6 linked regions of the Macaca mulatta genome follow. The protein of the gene in region 1 interacts with the protein of each later gene in a pairwise test. Links are inferred from orthologs where the notes say so. Each region holds a gene or a part of one and is shown in the gene's direction. Other genes may lie near its edges. The genes, in order: PLSCR1, CRY1, RGS3, ESR2, MVP and CCER1.

The links.
Region 2: the proteins of PLSCR1 (region 1) and CRY1 interact in a two-hybrid assay, tested with the Homo sapiens proteins (2 studies listed by BioGRID and IntAct). The link is inferred for Macaca mulatta from reciprocal best matches to the Homo sapiens genes PLSCR1 and CRY1.
Region 3: the proteins of PLSCR1 (region 1) and RGS3 interact in binary tests that used the Homo sapiens proteins (3 or more experiments, as listed by UniProt). The two-hybrid records come from large-scale screens. The link is inferred for Macaca mulatta from reciprocal best matches to the Homo sapiens genes PLSCR1 and RGS3.
Region 4: the proteins of PLSCR1 (region 1) and ESR2 interact in binary tests that used the Homo sapiens proteins (3 or more experiments, as listed by UniProt). The link is inferred for Macaca mulatta from reciprocal best matches to the Homo sapiens genes PLSCR1 and ESR2.
Region 5: the proteins of PLSCR1 (region 1) and MVP interact in a two-hybrid assay, tested with the Homo sapiens proteins (2 studies listed by BioGRID and IntAct). The link is inferred for Macaca mulatta from reciprocal best matches to the Homo sapiens genes PLSCR1 and MVP.
Region 6: the proteins of PLSCR1 (region 1) and CCER1 interact in a two-hybrid assay, tested with the Homo sapiens proteins (2 studies listed by BioGRID and IntAct). The two-hybrid records come from large-scale screens. The link is inferred for Macaca mulatta from reciprocal best matches to the Homo sapiens genes PLSCR1 and CCER1.

What each region holds. Positions count from the first base shown.
Region 1 is NC_133407.1:49,526,796-49,530,986, reverse strand, and holds the start of PLSCR1 (phospholipid scramblase 1), read left to right. Parts: upstream 1-1,391; 5' UTR 1,392-1,541; intron 1,542-4,191. UniProt on the Homo sapiens protein: Catalyzes calcium-induced ATP-independent rapid bidirectional and non-specific movement of phospholipids (lipid scrambling or lipid flip-flop) between the inner and outer leaflet of the plasma membrane resulting in collapse of the phospholipid asymmetry which leads to phosphatidylserine externalization on the cell surface.
Region 2 is NC_133416.1:114,206,172-114,209,671, reverse strand, and holds part of CRY1 (cryptochrome-1), read left to right. Parts: intron 1-2,171; coding exon 2,172-2,314; intron 2,315-3,500.
Region 3 is NC_133420.1:44,857,290-44,861,513, reverse strand, and holds the start of RGS3 (regulator of G-protein signaling 3), read left to right. Parts: upstream 1-1,424; 5' UTR 1,425-1,629; coding exon 1,630-1,708; intron 1,709-4,224. UniProt on the Homo sapiens protein: Down-regulates signaling from heterotrimeric G-proteins by increasing the GTPase activity of the alpha subunits, thereby driving them into their inactive GDP-bound form.
Region 4 is NC_133412.1:137,370,590-137,374,089, reverse strand, and holds part of ESR2 (estrogen receptor beta), read left to right. Parts: intron 1-29; coding exon 30-329; intron 330-3,410; coding exon 3,411-3,500.
Region 5 is NC_133425.1:28,746,393-28,750,478, reverse strand, and holds the start of MVP (major vault protein), read left to right. Parts: upstream 1-1,286; 5' UTR 1,287-1,344; exon of another isoform or gene 1,345-2,734; intron 2,735-3,959; exon of another isoform or gene 3,960-4,086. UniProt on the Homo sapiens protein: Required for normal vault structure. Vaults are multi-subunit structures that may act as scaffolds for proteins involved in signal transduction. Vaults may also play a role in nucleo-cytoplasmic transport.
Region 6 is NC_133416.1:98,241,613-98,245,622, reverse strand, and holds the start of CCER1 (coiled-coil domain-containing glutamate-rich protein 1), read left to right. Parts: upstream 1-1,210; 5' UTR 1,211-1,643; coding exon 1,644-2,561; intron 2,562-2,606; coding exon 2,607-2,900; 3' UTR 2,901-4,010. UniProt on the Homo sapiens protein: Regulator of histone epigenetic modifications and chromatin compaction into the sperm head, required for histone-to-protamine (HTP) transition.

The sequences.
Region 1 (4,191 bases):
CAAACATTACTGGACAGCTTCTTTGAAAATGGGGAAAACCCAATGATGAGACAACAGAAGACTCTAAAACTGCTAACAAAAATAAAGCCACATTTAAAGGAAAATGCCAAGAGTCCTACTTAAATTACAGGTTCACTGCAACAGGTGGTTCACATTCTCCAACCCTGCTTTGTATAATATGTGATGATCGACTATGCAATGAAGCCTCGAAACCTGCAAAACTGCTTTGCCACATGGAGACCAAGCACCCTGCGTTAAAAGACAAGCCTTTGGAGTTTTTTTGTTTTGTTAAAACAAACAAACAAACAAACAAAAAAACAGAAACCATGAAAACATGAACACAAAGAACACATAGAAGCAATTATTGAAGGCCACCACGTCATCAAATGTGTCTGCACTGACAGCATCAGTATATATTACAATGTAACAATAATAGAAATAAAGTGCACAATACATACAATATGCTTGAATCATCCTGAAACCGTCTGCCACTCGACCCTGGTCCATGGAAAAATCCTCTTCCGTGAAACTGGTCCCTGGTGCCAAAAAGGTTGGGGACCACCGGTTTATCCAGGGTCATCCAGGTTGGAGTAGGGTCAGGAGATATGGGGAAATTTAGGTCAAAGAATTCAAAGTTACAAACATGTAGGATGAACAAATGGGAAGACCTAATGTACAACATGAGGGCTATAGTTAATGATCGTGGTATTCAGGATTTATGCTAAATGAGTAAATTAGAGCTGCTCTTGCCCCAAGGGGGGAAATGTGTAATTATAGGAGTTGATGGATATGTCATACGCATAACTTAAATACAGACAATAAAAACTATTTTAGTTTAAAAAGGAACAATATTTATTAAAAAATAAGGTGAGCTCTTAAAAACATTTAAATAACTGCCTAAAAAAATAAAAAATAATATCACATAATTTAATAGAAGGAAAGAAAGAGCAAGACAGCAAGAAAGAAAAGGCACCATAAAAAAAAACAATTTTGACCACTCCTCATTTGTAGTCTAAGCTGCCTCTGCTTCCTTGCGTTGAAAAGCCACGGGCTTCCGAGGGATGGAGGTCAAAGTCAGAGTAAAGAAAGTTCCCGGGGGAGGCCACTCCCCAGCTGATGACTTTCCAGTTCCAGTTAGTGACAGAGTCCCAGTTCCTCTCCTTAACCACCGGTCAAAAGTCTCTGGAGTCTCTCCAATGAGCAAGAAAGCAAGTCGGGGGTAGGGGAGGGGCCTCACAACTGGTGGTGGGTGCAGTCCCTCCTCCAGCTTCTTCATCCTGCAATAGTCCCGCGGGTCCCCCGGCGCGAACGCGGGAACCAGGAAAAGGAAACCGCGTTGTGTACGTAAGATCCAGGAAACTAAACCAGTAGCCGCGGCTGTTGGCGCAAGGGTTACTCGCAGACCCTGTTCCGGCTGATTTCCGAGAAGGTTGCGCAGTAGCCGTGCCTTGCAGTCTAGAGGCGCAGGAGAGGAAGCCACCGCCTGACCCCGGCTCTCTAGACCTCGGCTCTCTCGGGAGCGGAAACAGCGGCAGCCACAGGTGCGCGAGCGGCTTTCTCTGCCGCCTCCCCGGGGCTCGGGCGCGAGAACTGCGCGGAGCCTGCGCTGGGGCCAGGGCCGGGATCAGGTGTGGGGGCCAACTTACGGGGAACGGGCGCGAGGGCCAGCCGGTTGTGTTTGCTGCTCTGGGGGTGGAGGATGTGGGGTGAAGGCTGGGGCCAGAAATGCAAGAGACCTCTGAAAGGGACCCTGTAAGTGGAGCAGATGCACGGCAAGGGGCCCCAGGCGGCCCAGCGGCACCTGGGCTCACCCAGAATCATTCGAATGAAAAGGGGTGTCCTGCCTGAAAACGCCTCGCGGGGCTCGGCTTCCCCTTAGCTACACTGCTCTACAGGCAGAGAGCGGCGCTGAATCCTGGGCAGAGACTGGGCTCGGGAGCATGTGCCAGCATAGTGGGGCTATTAGAAGGGACGGTTAATACAGCCTGCAAGCTGGCATTTATCAGTAAGTATTCACTGAAGTCCGCCTGGAGCCCACATCTATGCTAAACCCTCTACAATACTAGCTTGGAAAAGATAGCGGCGGTATCTAGCACGGTTCCTAAGACCATTAGCTCCAGTCAGGCTCCCCGACTTGAAATTTGGCCTCTACTGCTTCACATCTGTGGATTGTCAGCCACTTTCTTAATATATATTCTTTCCATTGCCTCATCTCTGAAATTGTGTAACTATTAAAAGAGCTACAGAGTATTATATGTGTTAATGTAAAGTTCTTAGAGCAGTGCCTGGCACTACAGAAAGTACTCAGTGAAAGTGAGCTTTTATTATTTTAAATATTTGACAAAGTTCCTGCTTCTCCAAGCTGACTCTCCGGTTCCCATGTGGTTTCATTCATGCACTGTTATTCCTGGAAGTCTTGGCATGGCCACTTCCCAGTTCCAGGAACAGGCAGTCGTTGTTTTTTTTCTGGCTTATCACATTGAGATACATGGTTACTACAAGTGACACTTAAACGTGTCAGGCAGTTTGGGGCCTCCTTTCTTGAACTTTTCCTAAGAGCAAACTTTTCCCTTAATGCCACCCTGTTTACAACCATAGTAGGGCTTTGAACAACGAGAAAATGCAGGGAAATGAAAGACATATAAAGGGAAATGAATGGATTTCTGCAGTTGGATAGCAAAGTGGCATGTGAAATAGCTGGTTTATAGATCAAACTGCCTTTAGATCTGTAAAGGAGCTTAGAGTACAGGTGGAGAGACATCAAATGTGTGCGAGCAGACGCTTATGTACCTCTCCGTCTTCATCTCTAAGAATGTCTCCCTCTTCTGCTCTGTAACCTCACTGGTCTTCCTTTCCTTGAATGAGGCATGTTCCTCCAGCTCAGGAATTCTATCTATGAAGTTCCCTGTCTCTATAATGCCCTCCAACACCCCACCCACCATACCTCCGTAGACTAGTTGATTTGAGATTTCCTTCAGCTCCCAGTCTGACTTTTCTTAAACCCCCTACCACTGTTTAAGTTAGTGTCCTGTAACCCTTTCTTGTAGCAACATTAATTTTATTGATAGCACTTAGAGTGTTTATAATAATCTATTACATTCTTAATTGTCTGTCTCCCTAGTGTCTAGGTATTGTGCTCTAGTGCCTGGTATAGTGCTTTGCATGCTCTATGCCTTCAATTAATTCCTTAAAAACCACACCAGCTTTATATTTAGTGAATATTTATATAGGAAGTATTTCTATATGTATATATGTGTATCTGTGTATATACACACTCTATAGCACTACCCTGAATAGTGCTAAATTAAAAAGCCAAAACACTTTTTAGTTAATCAGAACTAACAGTTGCACTCTTCAGTTTTCCATATGTTCTTTTAATAAGTCATTAGAAAAAAATGATGTCTCCATATGTTGTCTGCTGCTGTAGCAGAATACCTGAGACTTGGTAATTTATAAAGGACAGAAATTTATTTCTTACAGTTCTGGAGACTAGGAAGTCCAACATAATCATGTGTTGCTTAAAGACAGGAATACATTCTGAGAAATGCATCATGAGGCAATTTGGTGGTTGTGAGAACATCATAGAATTTACTTACACAATCCTGGATGGTATAGCCAGCCTTCTATTTAGGCTGGGGTGGTGGCGTGGGGGGTGTTGAGGAGAGTCAGATTGAGAGCTGAAGGAAGTCTCAAATCAATTAGTCTATAGACGTGTGTGTGTGTGTGTGTGTGTGTGTGTGTGTGTGTAGTGGTGGAGGGCATTATAGACAGAGGGAACTTCACAGGTAGAAGTCCTGGGCTGGGTGTGTGTGTGTGTGTGTGTGTGTGTGTGTGTGTGTAGTGGTGGAGGGCATTATAGACAGAGGGAACTTCACAGGTAGAAGTCCTGGGCTGGGTGTGTGTGTGTGTGTGTGTGTGTGTGTGTGTGTGTGTGTGTGTGTAGTGGTGGAGGGCATTATAGACAGAGGGAACTTCACAGGTAGAAGTCCTGGGCTGGGGGTGTGTGTGTGTGTGTGTGTGTGTGTGTGTGTGTGTGTGTGTAGTGGTGGAGGGCATTATAGACAGAGGGAACTTCACAGGTAGAAGTCCTGGGCTGGGGGTGTGTGTGTGTGTGTGTGTGTGTGTGTGTGTGTGTGTGTAGTGGTGGAGGGCATTATAGACAGAGGGAACTTCACAGGTAGAAGTCCTGGG
Region 2 (3,500 bases), on another chromosome or scaffold:
TAGCATATACTTACATAGGGTTTATTATGTGTCAGGCACTGTCTCTGCACCTTACTTATTCTACCCATTTTATAGACTAGGAAACAGGTATGGAGAGTTTAGCAGCTTGCCTAAGTAGTTGAGCCAGTCTTTCAACTTAGGAAGTCTAACTTATTAGATCCTGTGTTTTTAAACTATTCTATACCACCTCACTATAAAACAAATAAATAGAATGCTTTTCTATTCTCATCTTAATTTTATTTTTAAATTTCAAAAATAGAAAGTTTATACTAACAAATCTGAGCAATGCTGCAGAATGTAAAAGTTATTTACACACTCAAATTTTATTCCTGAAAGTCAACAGCCCTTAATTTCTTGATGTGCACTCTTCAGGACTTTTAAGAACGGAAAAAATTTTTAATGAGATACTATTTTTTTTCCTAGTAGTTTAGCAGACATTTAAAAACAATTACTGGCTGGGCATGGTGGCTCACGCCTGTAATTCCTGCACTTTGGGAGGCCGAGGTAGATGGATATCAGGAGTTTGAAACCAGCCTGGCCAACGTAGCGAAACGCCATCTCTACTGAAAATATAAAAATTAGCTAGTTGTGGTGGTGTGTGCCTTTAATCCCAGCTACTCAGGAGGCTGAGGCAGGCTTGAACCTGGGAGGCGGAGGTTGCAGTGAGCCGAGATCATGCCACTGCACTTCCGCCTGAGTGACAAAGTGAGACGTCATCTTAAAAAACAAAAAACAAAAAATGATTGCTAATACATATTATTGGCAAGTGTGTGGAGATCAAGCACTTAGGTGCACTGCTGATGGGAATGTAAATTTGTACAGTCTTTCGGGTACCTTAATTTGACAGCCTATCAGAATTTTGAATGTGCTTATCTTTGATCTATCAGTTGTTTTCCAAGGGATTATTTCTAGGAAAAAATTGGATAAATACCCTAAAATTTGTAAGATGTATGCATAAAGGTAAAGATATATACTGTAAAGTTTATAATAGCAATTTTTTTTTTTTTTGAGATGGAGCCTCACTCCTGTCGCTCATGTTGGAGTGCGGTGGCACAATCTCAGCTCACTGAAACCTCCACCTCCTGGTTCAAGTGATTCTACTTCCTCAGCCTGCCCAGTAGCTGGGAGATTACAGGCATGTGCCACCACACCCAGCTAATGTTTTTATTTTTAGTAGAGATAGGGTTTCACCATGTTGGCCAGACTGGTCTTGAACTCCTGACCTCAGGTGATCCACCCACCTCAGCCTCCCAAAGTGCTAGGATTACAGTTTTGAGCCACCGCACCCAGCCTAGAATAGCAGTCTTTTTTAACCCACCATTGAAACAGCCCTTGTCTAATCAGGAGGTGTTTGGTGAATTATATAGTATGTTACCATATAGGCAGTTAAACAATGGTAGAACTTTTTCTTTATGAGATAAATCAGAATAGACTTAGAATTTAAAAAAAAAAAATTATGCTTAAGAAAAATCAACTAATTCCTTTAAGTCACAGTTTCCTCATTTAAAATCAGTGTAAAGAGATGTACAGAACTTACTAATATAGCTCCTGATAATAAGTAACTGCTATTATTATTACCATCTCCAAATTTTTCAGTTAACATTTTTTAGTAATCAGAAAGAAAATATTTACACACACACACACACACACACACACACTCACACACGACCTCAGCCAGGCAGCTTATACCATATCAACTATCAAAAGTTTGTCAAAGATCAGGTCTTAGACTCAACAGACATAAATTCAGGTGGTCTGGCTCTCTGTGAACTCTGGCAAATCCCTAAGTTTTAAAAATAAACCAAAATGGAAATACTAACCAAAGTGCCAAACTCTGAGTGTTGTTTTGAGGCTCGAATGAAATAATGTAAGTATGAGTAATTTGAAAAAGTAAAGTGTTCTACAAACACATTTAGTGTAAGAGCTGGTTTTAAGCATATTGCTTTGCTAGATTGTCTGTTGCCTAGCATAAAGCCTGGAATCTAATGGGTTATGCATTTGTTACTTACGTATTTTTTAATTGATAAATTGTTTACTTTTTCCTGCATATTCAAAGTTTGATTTATGTATAATCATTTGATATGTAGATTTTCAGCTTTTTCACTTTTTGTTATGATAGAAAAAATAACTATTAAAATTGGTGTACATTGTTCCCCCTTCTGTTACTTTAGGAATGGAACATTACTAAACTTTCAATTGAGTATGATTCTGAGCCCTTTGGAAAGGAACGAGATGCAGCTATTAAGAAACTGGCAACTGAAGCTGGAGTAGAAGTCATTGTAAGAATTTCACATACATTGTATGACCTAGACAAGTGAGTTTTTTTTTTTTTTTTTTTACTGTGAGAAAATGCATGTAACATAATATTTACCATCTTAACCATTTTTAAGTATATAGTTCAGTGATATTAACTACATAGATAAGTTTTTAACTGAGGTTTGTGAAGTAGAAATGATAGCGTGTACTTCATAGAGTTTTGGGAGAATTAAGTGAACATATGTCAAATCCTTAGCATTTTATTTAGCCGCTATTGACCTAATGACAGGTCTCAGCATTTCTATTTCAAAACTATTATGGATTAAGACTGTTACAGAATTTTCCTTGACTACTCTTAACTCAGCCTCCTGTGGTCTTGCCTTTCTGGGCTCTTAGCATTATCAATTTTATAGTTATACATAGTTATAAATTGCCTTGACATATTTTGTATGCTTGTTTAATGTTATCTTATTTCATGTATATCTATCTTGTCTATCTGGATTTTAAATCCAGATACAAATTGGATGTAATATAACATTGCATAGCTGTAGTCCTCTGAACAATAGCATAATAGAATATTTCTCAAAGTGTATTTCTTCAGACACCAGTCCTTGGTGATGCTTTGTCCCACAGAAATTCTGTGGTCAAACTTAAATTTAGGGAGTATTGTATGCTATGAGTCTTAGAGGTCTATAAAACTTGTTAACTTTTTAAACTTTTGGCATACCATTGTCCTTTTAAGTACTGAAATCTTATAATTTATTTACCTTTTAAATCATTTTACTTTTTTAGTAATTTATAGATTTTATCAAGTTAGTAAAACAAATTCTGTAACATGACAAACTAGTTGATTTGATTTCACATTTTAAATGTATCAAAAAATCATGATTTGATTCACACAAAGGTCTTACTTGATGCTAAGCTAGAATTCATGTATCTTTTGATAATAATCTTGCCTTAGAGCTCACCAATTTGCTTAACTTTAGGGAGCTCATAGCAAGGAGGGGGCAAAACAGGATAAAAACAGTTGCTTCTAGGTGGGAGACTCAGTGTTATGCATAAAATTAAGTGTTTAGGCCAGGCGTGATAACTCATGCCTGTAATCCTAGCACTTTGGGAGGCTGAGGCAGGTGGATCACGAGGTCAGGAGTTCAAGACCAGCCTGGCCAAAATGGTGAAACCCCATCTCTACTAAAAATACAAAAATTAGCTGGATGTGGTGGCAGGCGCCTGTAATCCCAGCT
Region 3 (4,224 bases), on another chromosome or scaffold:
GGTGCAGGTAAGTCCATCTGTCATTGGCTTGAGGCTAGGAGAGTGGACCTGCTCTTGTTAAAGGCAGTGTTCACTGTGTGTGTGTGTAACTGGGGTTGGAGGGGGAGAGCGGGGTGGGGGGTACAGTAAAGAGCAGGGTAGGACTTCACGAAGTGCCAGGATTCAAACAATCCTATGGCATTTATGTGACTTATCACCAGTTTGCTGATTCAGGGCTCCTTCTCCAGTTTCTGTTCCTCACTGGTGGCCACCTGACCCTGTGGCGTTTGCTCTCTGCACCTGCTGTTGGCCATGGGGCAGATGTGGAGGCCAAGGAAGAATAGGACAATGGTGTTTAGGGCAGACAGGCCTGGGTTCAAATTTCAGCTGTGCCTATTCCTAGCTCTACAAACCTTGGGCATGTCACCTGTCTTCTCTGCCTGAGGTTCAGATTTCTTCCTGGTAAATTGGGGCTAATACTTATTAGACATACTGTGAAGATTAACTGAGATGATATGTGTAAATTGCCCAGCTCAGCCTCTGGCATCTGGTACTCAACACATAACTCTTCTCTCCACTTTCTCTCTTGCATCTCCCCATCTTGTTTTTGAGTGGATCACTGAACCACAAATATCCACTTGGCGATGAAGTCTGGGGAACAGGGACAAATACCAACACTTCCCATTTTTAGATTTACGAGACTAACAGCTTTCCTTCCCACAGTGGCAACAGTCAGAGATTTGCAGAGCAGATGTCTTGGTGTGAAACTGCTATCCGGAGGTGTCCTGTAAATGTTTGCCGACAAAGCAGCACAGGGGTTGACCTTCCAACTCTGCCTTACTGCAGCAGGCTGGGGGATTCACCCATCCCCTCTGTTTCCTGTGCCTTCCTCTTTCTCAGAGGCTGTAGGCCTGTCCTGCTGTCCGGTGGCATCAGGCTGTGGGATGGGGGGCCATCAGGTTGGTTGGAGCAAGCTGCTCCCATCTGGACCTGTGTCAGGCAGCACTTGTTCAAGAGGAGGCTCAAGAGAGTGATCCAGGACGCAGGGTTTGGGAAGAGGATGCAGCCTGGTGGGGGGCAACTTGTCCAAGCACAGAGAACACTTCTCCAAACCTCATTGCCCTGGACCATCGGGTGCTCCTTTGCCTTTGCTTGGATCTAATGATTATAGGTGTGAGCTTCAAAGCAGGTTATAAACCCGACTAATTGCTGGTCTAGGAGAGCTGGACCAGGAGGCCAAGCCTGCCCAGAGTAGAGTGGGCACCCCGGACTGGGGCTTCTCGTGGGACTGGCCCTTCAAACTGGGAGCGCGGTGCTGGGGCCGGGAGCCCCGGGGTGGCCGCACGGTCCTGCCAGCTCCTGGGGTGGCTGCCCTCTCTGCTCAGCGCGGGTCCGCGGCGCCGCCTCTCCCACCCCGGCCCTGCGCTGCTCTGGCAGGTGGAACTCTCCCCATTCAAACCCGCGCGGGCCAATCAGGGCCGGGCGCGCCCGGGCCGTTCCAACGCGCGGGGCAGCCCTGCCTCCCGCTCGCGCTCCTCCCGCGCTGGAGACTCCGGCGCAGGGGGCGGTGAGCCTGCTGCCTCGGTTACTGGGGAGCAACACAGCCGCCTTGGGTTTCAGGCACTCCTGTCCGAGTCGCAGTGGGACGCCATGGAGCGCTCCCTGCACCGCGTCTCCCTCGGGAGCCGGCGTGCCCACCCGGACTTGTCCTTCTACCTCACCACCTTTGGTAAGTGCCCGCTGGGGCCGGCGGCAGGGGCTGCCTCACCCTGTTCCCAGCGCCCGGAAATGCAGCCCCTCGTGGTGACAGGCGAGGCTGGGAGCAGGTGCTCTTTCTATCTGGGGTCACCTTCTCTGGCCCCTTTCTCCTGTGACTGCCCAGGAGGGGCTCAGGGCACAGGCTCAGTCCAAGCAAGCTGCTGGACACCACCTGCTGTCCGACCATGGGTGCCAACTGCAGTTGGTTCTGCCTCACTTGGCTGGAATAATCACACTCTAGTTAATCTTTCAGAGACCCAGGTTGTCACCACTGAGTTTCTCATTAGCAAGCAGCTCAGGTTAAATCAAGGTCTTGTTATAGCAACAGGAGATCTCATTCACCCACTTTCCTTTGGCTCAGGGAGCGGACAGGTGCTGGATCCTTTGGCTCTGCTGCCTTGCAGGCTCACCTTGGAGGCTGCAATCTGACTTTGTTGGGTATCTGAGCCACAGTAGAGATGGGAGAATTCTCTCCTCCAAGACAGAACAATCCCTTAGGAGGGTCCCAGGGCTGCCTCAGGGTTTGAGGTGGAAAGAAATGAACAGCAGGCCTCACTCCCAAGCCCCTAGGTAGCAGACTGAGTTTCCCCAAATAACAGCTGGGCGGCAGCTGCCCAAAGGCCTGGACAAACCTGTCCTTCCTGATAGCCATAGTAAAGGTAGCAACCCTACCCTAGAGGATAGCCCTTCATTTCCTCACTGGTCCTGCAACTCCCTGTGGAGAAGGGTTATTTTTCCTCTGTGAAGACTTGAAACTAAGAAGTCTTCCATGAGCCAGTGGCAGAGTTGGTAGCTGAGCTTAAACCTTCAAGAGATGACCCATCCAGCGCATTTTTGTTTGAACTTGCATACAATTTCCTTCTAAAGGTTGGGGCTGTTATTGCAACATAACTGGACATTGCCCAGCTTTCAAAGACAGACTGCCCAAGGAGTTGGTCCCTCCCTGGGGTTCCTGGCTGTTCTGCTTTCAGGCTTACTCCTGCCCAACACACTTGGTTTTCCACAACCTGCTTTTTTTCCCTAGGGGTAGAGGGAATGATGGAAGAGCAATGGCTTGGCCCCTTGAAATTGCCTGACGTCTGGCAGCAGGAATTCTCTGGTCCAGTTGGTGGAAGATAAAGGGCAATTAACTAGCCATCATTTGTTGAGCACTTACCATTGCCATTCCTTATGTCAAGTGTTTTACCTGCATTATCTCACTTAATGCCCCAGCCTAGGAGGCAATTCCTGCTAACCCCATTGGGATGCAGGGCTCTATGAGACAAGGGTGGTTTCCAGGATGATCTGTGTTGGCTGGGCTAGGAGTGGTCAGGAAAGGGTGTCAGGGAGCTGTGAGGCCCTCTTACCTTAGCTGTCTCCTGATTAAAAAGTAAAAATGTGTTTGCTTTTTTCCTCCTTATTATCATGGTAACATGTGTTTACTGCTGAAAACTTAGTTAAAAGAAGAAAGTGAAAATCACTTGTAATCTGACTTCCCAGGGAGACAGACCACTGTTAACTTTCTGATTTATATCCTTCCATGCTTATTTCCATACCTATTTCTCTCTCTGTGTGTGTGTGTATTTAGACATCAAATTTCAATACAATTGAGATCAAGTTTGTATGGACAATTTTGTAACCCATATGTTTTCCTTAGTGGCCTGATGTGAATATTTCCTTGCATTGGTCCATGTTCTTCTATTGGATTAATCTCCCTGCCAGATCTGGGAAGTTGGGGAGGATTCAGGCCCAGCAGGGAGTGGATCTTCCTGCCCAGCCATGGCCTCAGGGCTGAGTCCGATGGGTATCAGGGAAGGTTGCTGCTTGAAGAAGTGGCTGTGACCTGAGTGTGCAGGAGGCAGGCAGGAGCCTGGGTGGGGTGGGAAGCCACCTGCTTTTATTTGTGCAGGCTCCTCTCACATCTCTCTTGAGAGTATTTGAGAAATTCTCTCCTGTTTCCTGCACTGGTTGTGTTTCCCTGGGTGCCATTTGTCGTGGTGCCCCTCTTTCAGGCTGCTGATTTTCTTTATCCACTATGATCTTTGCTGATCTGCTTATGAGCAAAGATTCTTATCAGTGGTTTCCAAACCTGGCCAAATATCAGAAGCATGTGGGGAGCCTGTTAAAAAGACACAGATTCCTAGAATCTTCTTCCGGAGACTCTGGTTTAATAGGTCTGGGGTGGATCCTGAGAATATGAACATTTAAGAAGCCGCAGAGTGTTCTGACTGTCTGTCATCCAGGTTTGGAAGCTATGGATTCAGCGTCAGTTTTGTAGCCAGTGGGGACCACTTTTACTGTGAAGGTTTTGGCTAAGTTTTTCAGTCCGCTGGCCTTTCCTTAGCATAGTAGGTAGCCCCTGGCCTTATACAGTGAGCTTTGCCTTGGTAGAACCAGGTGAAGATGTTGCTTAGCTAGTAGTTTCCTGAACACAGACATGTAAAGGGAGCGTAATCATCTATGGAAATATAAAGAGACAAAACTGTTTTGATCTGAATTCCCTTTGGG
Region 4 (3,500 bases), on another chromosome or scaffold:
AATTTGAATGACCCTGCTTTCCTTTTCAGGCTCCCGGAGAGAGAGATGTGGGTACCGCCTTGTGCGGAGACAGAGAAGTGCCGACGAGCAACTGCACTGTGCCAGCAAGGCCAAGAGGAGTGGTAGCCACGCGCCCCTAGTGCGGGAGCTGCTGCTGGACGCCCTGAGCCCCGAGCAGCTGGTGCTCACCCTCCTGGAGGCTGAGCCACCCCATGTACTGATCAGCCGCCCCAGCGCGCCCTTCACTGAGGCCTCCATGATGATGTCCCTGACCAAGCTGGCCGACAAGGAGTTGGTACACATGATCAGCTGGGCCAAGAAGATTCCCGGTAGGGCTTTCGGGCTATTAGTTTTCCGTGTACTTGTAGAAAGGCCTGCTGCTAATATTTAAAGGACAAGAGTATAAAGTAGAGGTCTGTGAGCTGTGCCTAGATATTTAACGGTTTCTCAGCTGGATTTGTAACTTTTGAGTGCAATATGTTCCTTCCTCCCGTCTTGGCATAGCTACCTTCAACAAGGCCACGTTCTGATTTAGAATTCTGAGACGACTCTGAGTTCTGTACCCAACATGGTAGTGAAGAAAGAGTTGTGCGTGGCCCAGCCATTTCTATTCTTGACTCTCTTCTTTTCCTGTGGCTAGATGCTTCCCATACTACCTGGCACAAACCCTATCCTGTGTGTCCACATCTGCTACAGACACTCACCTGTTGGCCCCCTCTCATGCCTAGAGGTGGTCTGGGAGGATGGACCCAGGGAACCCACCCAGACTCTGGAACTGGGCTTGGGGTCATTTGGGCAAGAAATCCTAGAGTTCTGGAACCTGGAACGTGGTTAAAAGGTAGACTCTACATTGCCCCATTTCTTGGCTCTGGATTCCTCACCTTGAGAGGAGGGGCATGGTTGGGTAGGGTGGGGTAGAGTACAGTATGACTAGTTTGAAAGTGAAAGGTTTGTCAGATGCTAAATAGAATTTTGTAAATTATTGTTCCAATAGAGAATCAGTATTATATACACAAATGAATATGTATGGACAAAGAGAGTAAATCAGTGGTTGAAGTTACACGAATCATCAGTGGGCCCATAAACTTGGAATGCCATCAAGTTAAAAATGAGCTTAGTTACTCATGAGTTATCATTTGGAACCTGCATTTTCCATCCTCTAAAGTGATCACTTCTCCCAAGCCCATTTGTAATACAGACCTGAAGTGCTGTATGATGCTGAAATTACCAGCTAATTATCATTTGACGTGGTGTTTCTGTGAAAGAGTGAATCTAGGATTCTAACCTAAAATGGCAACATCCCACAATCCCCCTGTGAAAGGTTCTCCATGCCCTTCTTTACAGTCCTTGAAGAAATGAAGCCTCTTACAAGTTCTGAGCCACTGGGGGCGTTCCCATGGCCTGGAGGGCAACGACTGCACTGGGCAAGCTGTAAAGATGAGGAGGGGCGAGAAGCTGGGGGAAGAGAAGTTTCGGGTAAAGAGCCCAGGGAACTGAGGCCTACGGTGACAGTATCATTTGGGGACTTTTGTTGAACTGGGCCCATTTCTTCTGAGCTTGCTGAGGATTTTTGGTTTCGAGTTGTATTTTGTTTTGTCTATCATCTTCACCTTTGCCAGAATTATTTTTTTTCTCTGCTTTTTCCTGGAGGAGGCAATCCTGATGCACTTTCCTCTAGTTTTTGCTTTAAGTGTATTCCAAACACGATTTCGCAGGACCACACACGGAGAGCAGTGATGAAATTAATTATTGCTGAAAGCTGTGCCCCTTCTTTGTGCCATAAGAAATCTGAACTCTTAAACTGCGTTATTCCTTATTCAAGCCTGGTGTTTTGAAAAGTTTTCAGGAAACGTAGGCATAGTCTGGAGGTGTGATTTTTCCCCCTCTCTTACCTGGCATGGTCATTGTCCAAACCCAAAAAAAAAAAAAAAAATTAAAATATCATCTAGCCTTGATCTTGTTGAATATCTACAAGGTTAAGAGCCATGATCTCTTGGGTAGGCTTATTGTCTATTACTGTGGGTGAGATTGGGAAGGTGTATACATATTAGGAACCTAAACTGAGCAAAGCATGTGGATTTAGAAAGTATTTATCCGTCTTTACACTCATAACACCATTACATTCTCCTTGAGACAGATTTACATTATAATTGTTCAAAGACTTGAACACTTATGTTCTCTCTGCCATAGTTTCCTCATCTGTAAAACAAGAATAAGAGATCTTGCCTATAGGACATTCTCAGAGATAGGCATTGTTACCTCCATTTTCCTATAAGAAAAACAAAGATTTAATGGGAGATTAAGTGACCAGCTAGAAAGAGGCTGAGCTGGAGTTCAAACCAGAGTCCATTTCACTCCAAGGCTGTGTCTTTTGTTGCCATATTTATATTAAATGGCCGTCTCCTTTTATCATGGCTTGTGAAGGAAGCCCCGGTGTTCTCTGCTTTGCTTTTGAAGTGCTTCCTTCCCCAGAGATTACCTGTTTCCAAACAGTACTGTGACCAACATGAGTTATTAGGTTGTCAGGACCTGCTTTGTTATTATATTTGCTCTTTATTTTATTTATTTATTTATTTAGACAGGATCTTGCTCTGTTGCCCAGGCTGGAGTGCAGTGACATAATCTCAGCTCGCTGCAGCCTCGACCTCCCAGGCTCAAGCAATCCTCCCACTTCAGCCTCCAGAGTATCTGGGACTACAGGCACCTGCCACCATGACCAGATAATTTTTTGTAGAGATGGGGTTTCTCCATGTTGGCCAGGCTGGTTTCAAACTCCTGGGTGCAGGCAATCCACCCGCCTTGGCCAACCAAAGTGCTGGGATTACAGGTGTGCGCCATTGTGCTTGGCGATATTTGCTGCTTAGGATAGAATCGCCCAGAAACAGTGCTTCTACCCGGAAGGATCTTAACACTGGATGGGAAATTTTAAGCAATCAGAGAAATCCTTGAAGTTGAGGCCTTGGCTTTCTGTGGGGGCTGACACTGCTGTCTGCAAGCCTCCAACCCCAACCTCCACCTACCCCATTCCCCCACCCCTTCTGATCCCAGTCAAAGATTGGGTCAGACAGGCAGCTCCTCTGACTGGCAACCAAGCATCAACCTTCTCAGTAGTGCAGAGGAATTATCAGGACACAGCTAACCAAGATCAGTTCTGAGCCCAGGTCATCACGCTTGACAAACTCTAAATGAAGTATATTTGTCTCTAGAAGGGGTCCAAGACTGGAAACTGAGTCACGCAGCTTAACTTCAAAGTTTTCTTCCTTTAATGAGTAGTCAATCATATCTATAAAATATCGATTCCCTAATGGTTTGTGTTTTCTTAGTGTTTTAACACTTGCCATTCTGTCTCAACAGACACAGGTAGCTGAGGAGGAGGGTGCGGGTGTCTCACCGCCTCTTGCTTTCCCCAGGCTTTGTGGAGCTCAGCCTGTTCGACCAAGTGCGGCTCTTGGAGAGCTGTTGGATGGAGGTGTTAATGGTGGGGCTGATGTGGCGCTCAA
Region 5 (4,086 bases), on another chromosome or scaffold:
CGGGTTCAAACAATTCTCCTGCCTCAGCCTCCCGAGTAGCTGGGATTTACGGGCGCCCACCACCACGCCCAGCTAATTTTTTGTGTTGGCCAGGCTGGTCTCAAACTCCTGATCTCGTGATTCGTCCACCTTGGCCTCCCAAAGTGCTGGCATTAACAAGCGTGAGCCACCATGCCCGGCCTGCACTCTTCTTTGAACAGAATTCTGTTCTTGTCCTAGGGCCTTTACTCTTGCCATTCGCCTGTCTGGTGTCTCCCTGGTCTTCACATTACCTGTGCCTTCCTGTCATTCAGGATCTTTGCTGCTCACTCTCTCTGAGGTCCAACCCTGAACCTCAGGTCCTCCAAGACAGAGGCCTGGGAACCTGCATGTTTAACCAACTCCCCAAGTGATGAGTGAAGTCCAGGCAGGTCTGGTGCACACCACCTCCATCTCTTCCATGTATCTTACCTTCCCCTTCTCCAGGAAGCTCAGCCCGGAGCCAGAAACGGGAGGCCCGCCTGGACAAAGTGCTGTCGGACATGAAGAGACACAAGAAGCTGGAGGAGCAGATCCTTCGTACTGGGAGAGACCTCTTCAGCCTGGACTCGGAAGACCCCAGCCCTGCCAGCCCCCCACTCCGATCCTCCGGGAGTAGTCTCTTCCCTCGGCAGCGGAAGTACTGACTCCCACTGCTCCTGCCTCTAGGCTGCAGTGTCTGTACCTGCTGGGGCCTGGGCCCTCCTTCCCCAGCCCAGGCACTGAGAAACTTGGGAAGAAGAGAGAAACCTCAAGCTCCCAAACAGCACATTGCAGGAAAGAGGAAGAGAGAGTGTGAGTGTGTGTGTGTGTGTGTTTTCTATTGAACACCTGTAGAGTGTGTGAGCATGTGTGTGTGTGTGTTTTCTATTGAACACCTATTCGGAGACCTGGACTGAATTTTCTGAGTCTGAAATAAAAGATCCAGAGCTATCATCTCTTAAAAGGAGGGGCTGTAGCTGGAGCTCAACATTTAGGCCCCACTTCAAGGGAGAGGCAGAATTGTATTCACCCAGATTGGAAAATGAATGCCAGATGGGCAGAGGCGCACCTGCCCCATCTCGGGCCCTCCAACCCCTCCCAGTCCCACTCCAGTGCAGGCAGCTGGCTCCGAGGCAGAAACTCATGAGCACGCAGGGAGCAGTGCGCCCTCAGCTGCAGCAGAGGCAGCCCGGAGGATAAAATGAGAACCAGCTGCACGGGCTCTTTAACTCCCAAGCCCCACCCCTGGGCCTGGCCTGCCTTGCCCTGCTGGGAAGTGATCCCCTAGGCTGGGTGAGAGTTCCCCATCCAAGGCGTTGGTTGCAGCTAGCTGCACTTCTAGATGTGAGTACATTGTACTAGCCCCCCAAACCCCAAATCAGGGGCAGATCTTTGTATCCCTCGAGGCTCTCTTTATTCCTGTCTTGCTTTCAAGGGCCTTGCTTCTGCTGGGGCAGGGAAAACATGTCTGAATCAGAGCGGGGAAGGAGGATGGGCGGTGGCTTTGCTTTGGGAGGTTTCACTTTCCAATAGTTGGGGTTTTCTGGGTTTTGAAGTAAAGGCAGATTAACTCACCAACACCATCCCCCAGCCCCCTGCAACTCTCGGGCCCCTCTCTGACTTCAGGGTCCCACATGGGAAATCAGGTGGGGGACCTTACAGGGTCATTCAGACCCCATCTTAGTGCTAGATCGGTGCTTGCTCTACTTGCCTGCACTGTCCTGGGACCTGGGCTCTGACCTGTCCCCATTCAGGGCCCTTAACTATGACAGATAAGGTTTGTTTCTGCTCCACGCAGGGCTGGGCCAGCTGTTGGCCTCCGTCAGTCATTCAGGAAGTCATTAGAGTGATTTCCAGAAGGTGTAGAATTTAGTGGCCAAGGTTCTTTCCTTTTTGGGAGGAGAAAGTGAAAACTAGGATGCTCAGCTGGACCCACCAGCCTGAGATTCTGGGGAGCTTAGAGCTGTCCCTTGGGAGTGAAGCACTTGGGGGTGGGGGTGATAGCGAGGCTGATGGCCCCTGTGTTCTCAGCTCTCCGCCTGGGTGGCCCCTGGGTGATGGGGGAAAGGACAGCTGTCACGTGGGGTATCAGGTGGCTCTCAGAAACTCCCTTGGCACACAGCACTGGGTTGGCCCTGGGGTGTGGCTGTTTGGGCAAGACAGCCCTCTGTAGCCTTGAGCAGGTAGGGGGGCCACCTTGAGTGGGTGGCCCAGAGACAGCCTCAGGGCTCCAAGGTAACGGGGTGCTCAGGTTATCTTGGGTGCCGCCTTCCCAGGTTGTGGGGGAGCAGAGGCTGGGCGCTGGCTCAGCTTGTAGGAAACACTCACCTTTGAATTGCCATTGGCGCCATCTGGGCAGTACCCCGCCCCACCCAGGTCCTCTAGTCCTTATTCTTGGCTTAGAATCTTCCTGTTTCTGCCTGAGAAGCCACTGCCTCCTAGTTTGTGGTCTCTACAGTCATACCCAGATTAGACTTCCGGCTCCATCCTTTGATAACTGTGTCCTCTTGGGCAAGTTTTTTAACTTCCAGGTTCATTGTGAGGATAACATGAGTCAGAGGACACTTAACACTGCCTGGCACAGATTAAGCTCATTGGAAATGGGAGTTGTTACTGGGGGGCGTTTGCCTGGAACACAGGGAAAGAGGCTCTCTCCTGGAAACCTAGACCCAGTGGGTCAGAAGTGAGGCCTGCAAAAAGCAGCGGGAGCGGGATTAAGAATTCCAGCCCAGGGCTGGGTTTGGTGGCTCAGGCACCCAGCATTTTGGGAGGCCAGGGTGGGAGGATGGCTTGAGGCCAAGAGTTCCATGCCAGCCTGAGCAACATGAGACCCTTGTCTCTGTTTTGTGTGTGTGTGGTTTTTTGTTTTGTTTTGTTTTTAAAGAATTATAGCTCAGTTCTATGATTAGGCAAGTTTAGAAAATAATTAATGAAGATCGGGGTTCTGAAGCCTGGTTCCTGGGTCGCTTCTGATCTAGGAGGTTCTTGCCTCTGGTGACTGGTCTTAATTGGCAGGGGTGGGAGGAGGGAGGGAGGACAAGTGGAGGTCTGGGCTGGCTGAGCTGTTCTGTCTCCCCCTCACCTCCCAAAGGCCACCAGGCTGCTCCCCTTCCCACAAAGTGGCCCAGTTAGACTGGAGCTCACAAACAATTTCCTTGGGAAGAATCATTCCTAAAACTGTGCTGCTTAAAAACAAAAACAAAAAAAAAAGTGAGACAGATTCTCAATTTCCATTAATGGTCTCCTAAAGGGGGTAAACCAGGAAGCTGCTGGGTGAAAACAGGCTGCTGGCAGTTCCTGAGTCATGTGACCCATTCTCTAAAGACTACAATATTTAAATCAGTGAGAAACTCCGTGAAGTTGTGTCCTTGTTTATACCAAACTTCATGTGCCTTTTCCTGAACCTGAAGCTGTGGTAAGGTCTGGGGGCGGGGCCAGGTCACCGACCTCGCCTCCAACCTCAGGACGGCCTGGAGCAAGAGCCCTGGGGTTGGAGACAAAGGAGGCTGCTTGGACCTGGGTAAGGGAAGGGGCTGGAGGAGAATGAGTGCAATTCCCTGCCCTTGATGAGCAGCCTGCAATCGGAGCTGTGTTTTTGTTTTTGAGACAGTCTCTGCTCTGTCCCTCAGGTGGGAGTACGATGACGCAATCTCAGCTCACTACAATCTCTGCTCCTGGGTTCAAGCAATTCTCCTGCCTCAGCCTCCTGAGTAGCTGAGACTACAGGTGCCTGTCACCATGTACGGCTAATTTTTGTATTTTTAGTAGAGACGGGGTTTCACCATGTTGACCAGGCTGGTCTCGAACTCCTAAGCTCAGGCGATCCTCCTGCTTCGGCCTCCCAAAGTGCTGGGATTACAGCCACAGCGCCTGGCCTGGAACTGATCTTTATCCTCCTCCCAGTTCCTACTGTGCACCAGAAACCTTCCAGTCTCTAATACCTTTGACTTGAAGCAGTCACTTTTTTTCTTTTTTTTTTTTTTTTTTTGAGATGGCCTCACTCTTGCTCAGGCTAGAGTGCATTCCTGTGCTCCATTTATGGCTCACTGCAGCCTTGATCTCCCAGGCACAGGCAATCCTCCCACC
Region 6 (4,010 bases), on another chromosome or scaffold:
ATAATAAAAGTAATGCCAAATTTTCTTTGAAAAAAAAAATAAGCTTATTTTGGTTATACATGATAATTTAATAAATATATTTGAGAAAAAAAAAAGGTAGTATAATCGTGGTATGGGTAAGGAAACTGAGGCTTACAGAGATAAATAATTGGTGAGTTGAAGTTGAACCCCATTTATTTAAATTAAAACCCATATGCTTAACCACAGTGCTTTAAAGGCTTCCTGTGTACAGACTGTATGGTCAGTGAAGGGACAAAAGGAAAAACAATCTGAATATTCCTCTTCCCAAGGACAAACCTGTGGTATTCATCCTGGTAATAATAGTATTTGTTTAATTGAGGTACATGTGTATGGTATATTACCGATAACAAAGTACGTTCCCAAATGCATGTCATTTAGTTATCACAAGGGTCCTACTGATGGTTTGGTAGAACATACAGCAATGCCATTAAGAATCTAACTTTAGCATCAAACAGGCTTAGGCTTAAATAGTAGCCCGAAAATGTATTAGCCCCACAACCATGGGGAAATTAACCCCTCAGTTCCCTCATCTGTGACAGGTGATAAGATACGCCTACCTCTCAGGGTAGATGACAGGATTATGTGTCAGGAAGCACATGCAATAATAAATGTTTGTGGCCTTGTTTTATGTATTATGAATTCCATTTCCCCGGAGTAAGAAGAGTTGGCACCGGCCAGAAAGTAAGAGGTTGGGCCAAGTTTTCTTTCTCCAGTAATTTTCCATTAATTTTCTATTAATACAAAAGAGGTGATATAGTACATGTAAAGACACTTGTGCTTGATGTAAAAATAGGCATCCCTACCCTGGCTTTGTCATTTTACCCTCCAAAGGTGTAGAATGTGGGGTTTTCAAAACTCAAGTTCTCCCGCCCCCACCGGGTTCAGATGAAGGCCCATCTTCTAAACCCCTGCCTCAAGGTGACACAAAGCTTTCGGATAAACTGCCTCCAGACGTGCTTGAATTGAGCAGCACAAACCCAGCCTGAGCCCCTCTTCGCCTCCCCCAAACGCTACGTCACAAGCCCCCTGCGAATGTTCACCTAGAGCCTGGTTCCAGCCAGAACCCGGTCTTGCACACAGGGAGGACGATTTCGACCCCAATTGGCTGTTGCCCTGGGCGACCAAGAACGCGGTGGGCACGCGGGAGACCACAGCCAGTATTTAAAGGCTGCCGCTGCCCTCGCCACCCCAGTCCTGCCAGGACGGCGACAGTGAAGCACCTGGGTTGAGAGGTAGCAGCAGGTAACTGCGCAACCCCTGCCTCCCCCGGCCCCAGCCCGTGCCTCAGCAGAGCCGGGTGTGGGGGGGACCCGGGAGTGGGTCTCACTGCGTGTCGCCTGCCAACACCTTCCTCCCCCACCATCCTTGCCCAGCCCCAGTCCCACCCAGCACACCTGGGTGAGACAACCCAGGTGCGAAGGACAAGCGATTACTACCGAAGAGCTCGCAAACCAGGAAGAGAGCGGCCTCCTGGAGAGAAAACGTGATCCCAGGGGTAGACACGTGGCACTGCGTGGAGAGACAGGGTGACGAGACGAGGCTCTTCTGACCGTCCTATCTGGCAAAACTTGACGACAGCTTCTGGGTCGCTACCATCTAGACCTCTCAGAGCTCCCCGAACGATGACTCAGACCCTCGACACAAGGGAAGACCCTCTGAACCTGGGCGGCGGTGGCTGGGCACACTCGGCCTCCTTGAGCTCCTGGTCGTCCTGCCATCGAAGGCGCCAGGGCGCTCCAGTGTACAATAGGCCGCACCGCTATAGCCCCAAGACCGAGTATGGGCCCCCAAGGAAGCAGCCGAAGCAACAGCACGGCCCGGGCTTTTGGTTCCAACCACCCGTGTGCTTTAACTGGGGGTGCTGGGGAGGGCCCTGGCGCCCACCCCCTCCAGGATTCCGGAAGTTCCATTGCCCAGTGCAAGTGTTTCGGGTGTATGGCCTGCACCCTCTCTGCTTTTGCTGCTGCTCCTGCTGGAACGGGTCCTGGAACCCTAGCTGGGCGAGGCCCCCAGGCAGGAAGAAGCGCTGGGGCCGCAGGGGTCGCGGCCTGCGCCACCACCCTCGCCGCTCCTCCCCGCGGAGCCCGCCAGCGAATGTGAGCACGCTGCCGCGGCCGGTCAAGCTGTACGAGTGGAGAGAGCCTGGCATGCGAGCGCCGCCCAACACCACCCAATTCATCATGAACCAGATCTACGAGGACATGCGGCAGCAGGAGAAGCTGGAGCGTCAGCAGGAGGCGCTGAGGGCGCAGAAGGCCCCGGTGAGCGGCGAGGCCTCCCCGGCCAGATCCTCCGGAAACGACGCGCCCCCTGGCGGCAGCGAGGAAACCTGGGGACTGCAGGAAGCTCTGTATGGCTTTGTGCAGAATCCCTCTCTAGCATTCAGTCCTAAATCAGAGGAAAACCAGTCTCTTGCCCCGTTGCTGGTGGAGGAAGAGGAGAAGAAAAATGATGATGAGGAGGAGTATGACCAGGAGGTGTGTGATGCAAAGGAGGTGAGCGAGGAGGAGGAAGAAGAGGTTGAAGATGAGGAAGAAGAGGTCGAAGATGAGGAAGAAGAGGTGGAAGATGAGGAAGAGGAAGAGGTCGAAGATGAGGAGGAGGAAGAGGTCGAAGAGGCTGAATATGTGGAGGAGGAGGAGGAGGAGGAGGAGGAGGAGGAGGAGGAGGAGGAGGTAGAAGGGGAAGAGGAGGTCCTGGAGGAGAACGAGCAGAGAGGGGAAGAATTTCATTTGCCTCTGGAAATGCCTTTATCAATCTTCGTAGAGGCTGAAGAAAAGAGAGAGAACTTTATAAGCTGCACTTTTTTAAACCCAGAGCAGATAATTCCCAAAGTGCCACAGGAATCCCTGTTCACTGCACAGGACTTTAACTGTTAGACATCAGAAAAGGGATTGAGGAAAGGGATGGAACTGATTTGAGGCTAAACTGGATTAGCAATTTATTAAAAACTGATTAAAAAGTGAGTTCCATTAATAAACAGATGTAAACACCTTCTTTGGCCATTATAAAATGCTTAAAATTTGATGCGTATGTGTATGACTATGGGTGGTGGTGGGGGAGCTTTCAAATATAATTTTACTGGAACTGATTAAAGGCCAAGTATTTTATTACTACCATTAGAATATTTTCACCTGGTGTTTTCCCCACTAGAAAACAAAGTTGCTGTTTTTTTTTTTTTAAATCTATAAATGCTGGAAAAGCGTTTGTTTTTGAACAAATTTATACAACTTAGCCACTTAATGAGCTTGGCATGAAGAGATAGTTTGTTACATGCATAAGAAAGCACATTCTAACGCTACTGAATGTTCACCAGTGCTCTTAACATAACTGAAGCCATTTTCAATCCCTGTATTTTTTTTCAACAATATTTTACCTCGTAGATTTTTCCACCATCAGAGTTCATTTTTGAGGGCTGTATTTTGTTAACCCCATTTGCAGTCTCTTGTGGCATCGCTTATTGATATTCCTTGTTCCACAGTGCTATGGATCTTCCTCAGAAAAACATGAAGTTGCTTCTGTGGAACTGGTTATCTGCCATGGCCTCAACAATCCATAATCCAGTCATGGAGAGGATTCCCCATGGTTAGAAGTCAACTTGCACATCTAGTTAAAGTCCAAGGTAACTGCAAACAATGGAACATAGCTTAGGTTTTGAAGCCTCTTTATTGGATAGAGTCTTTATCCTAAGTTCTGAGGAGCCATAAAAAATGTTTTGCAGAATAGATTTTTTTAGAGAAAAAGATTATTGACCTTTTGGGGGTAGAATATCTTACTTCATTTTTCAATTTGTCTTTGTTATAAAGGAGAGTAAAAGATGTGTAAGCGTGAGTCTGTGTGAGCTGATTTCTGATGTCTAAACAGCAATTACTTATGGAGAATACATCATTCAAAATAATAGCTTTTGTTCAAACATTTTTAGGAAGTAATAATACATTTCTTCCTGGACAGTTGATAAAAGTTCCATCCATAGCATATTTCCAGAATAT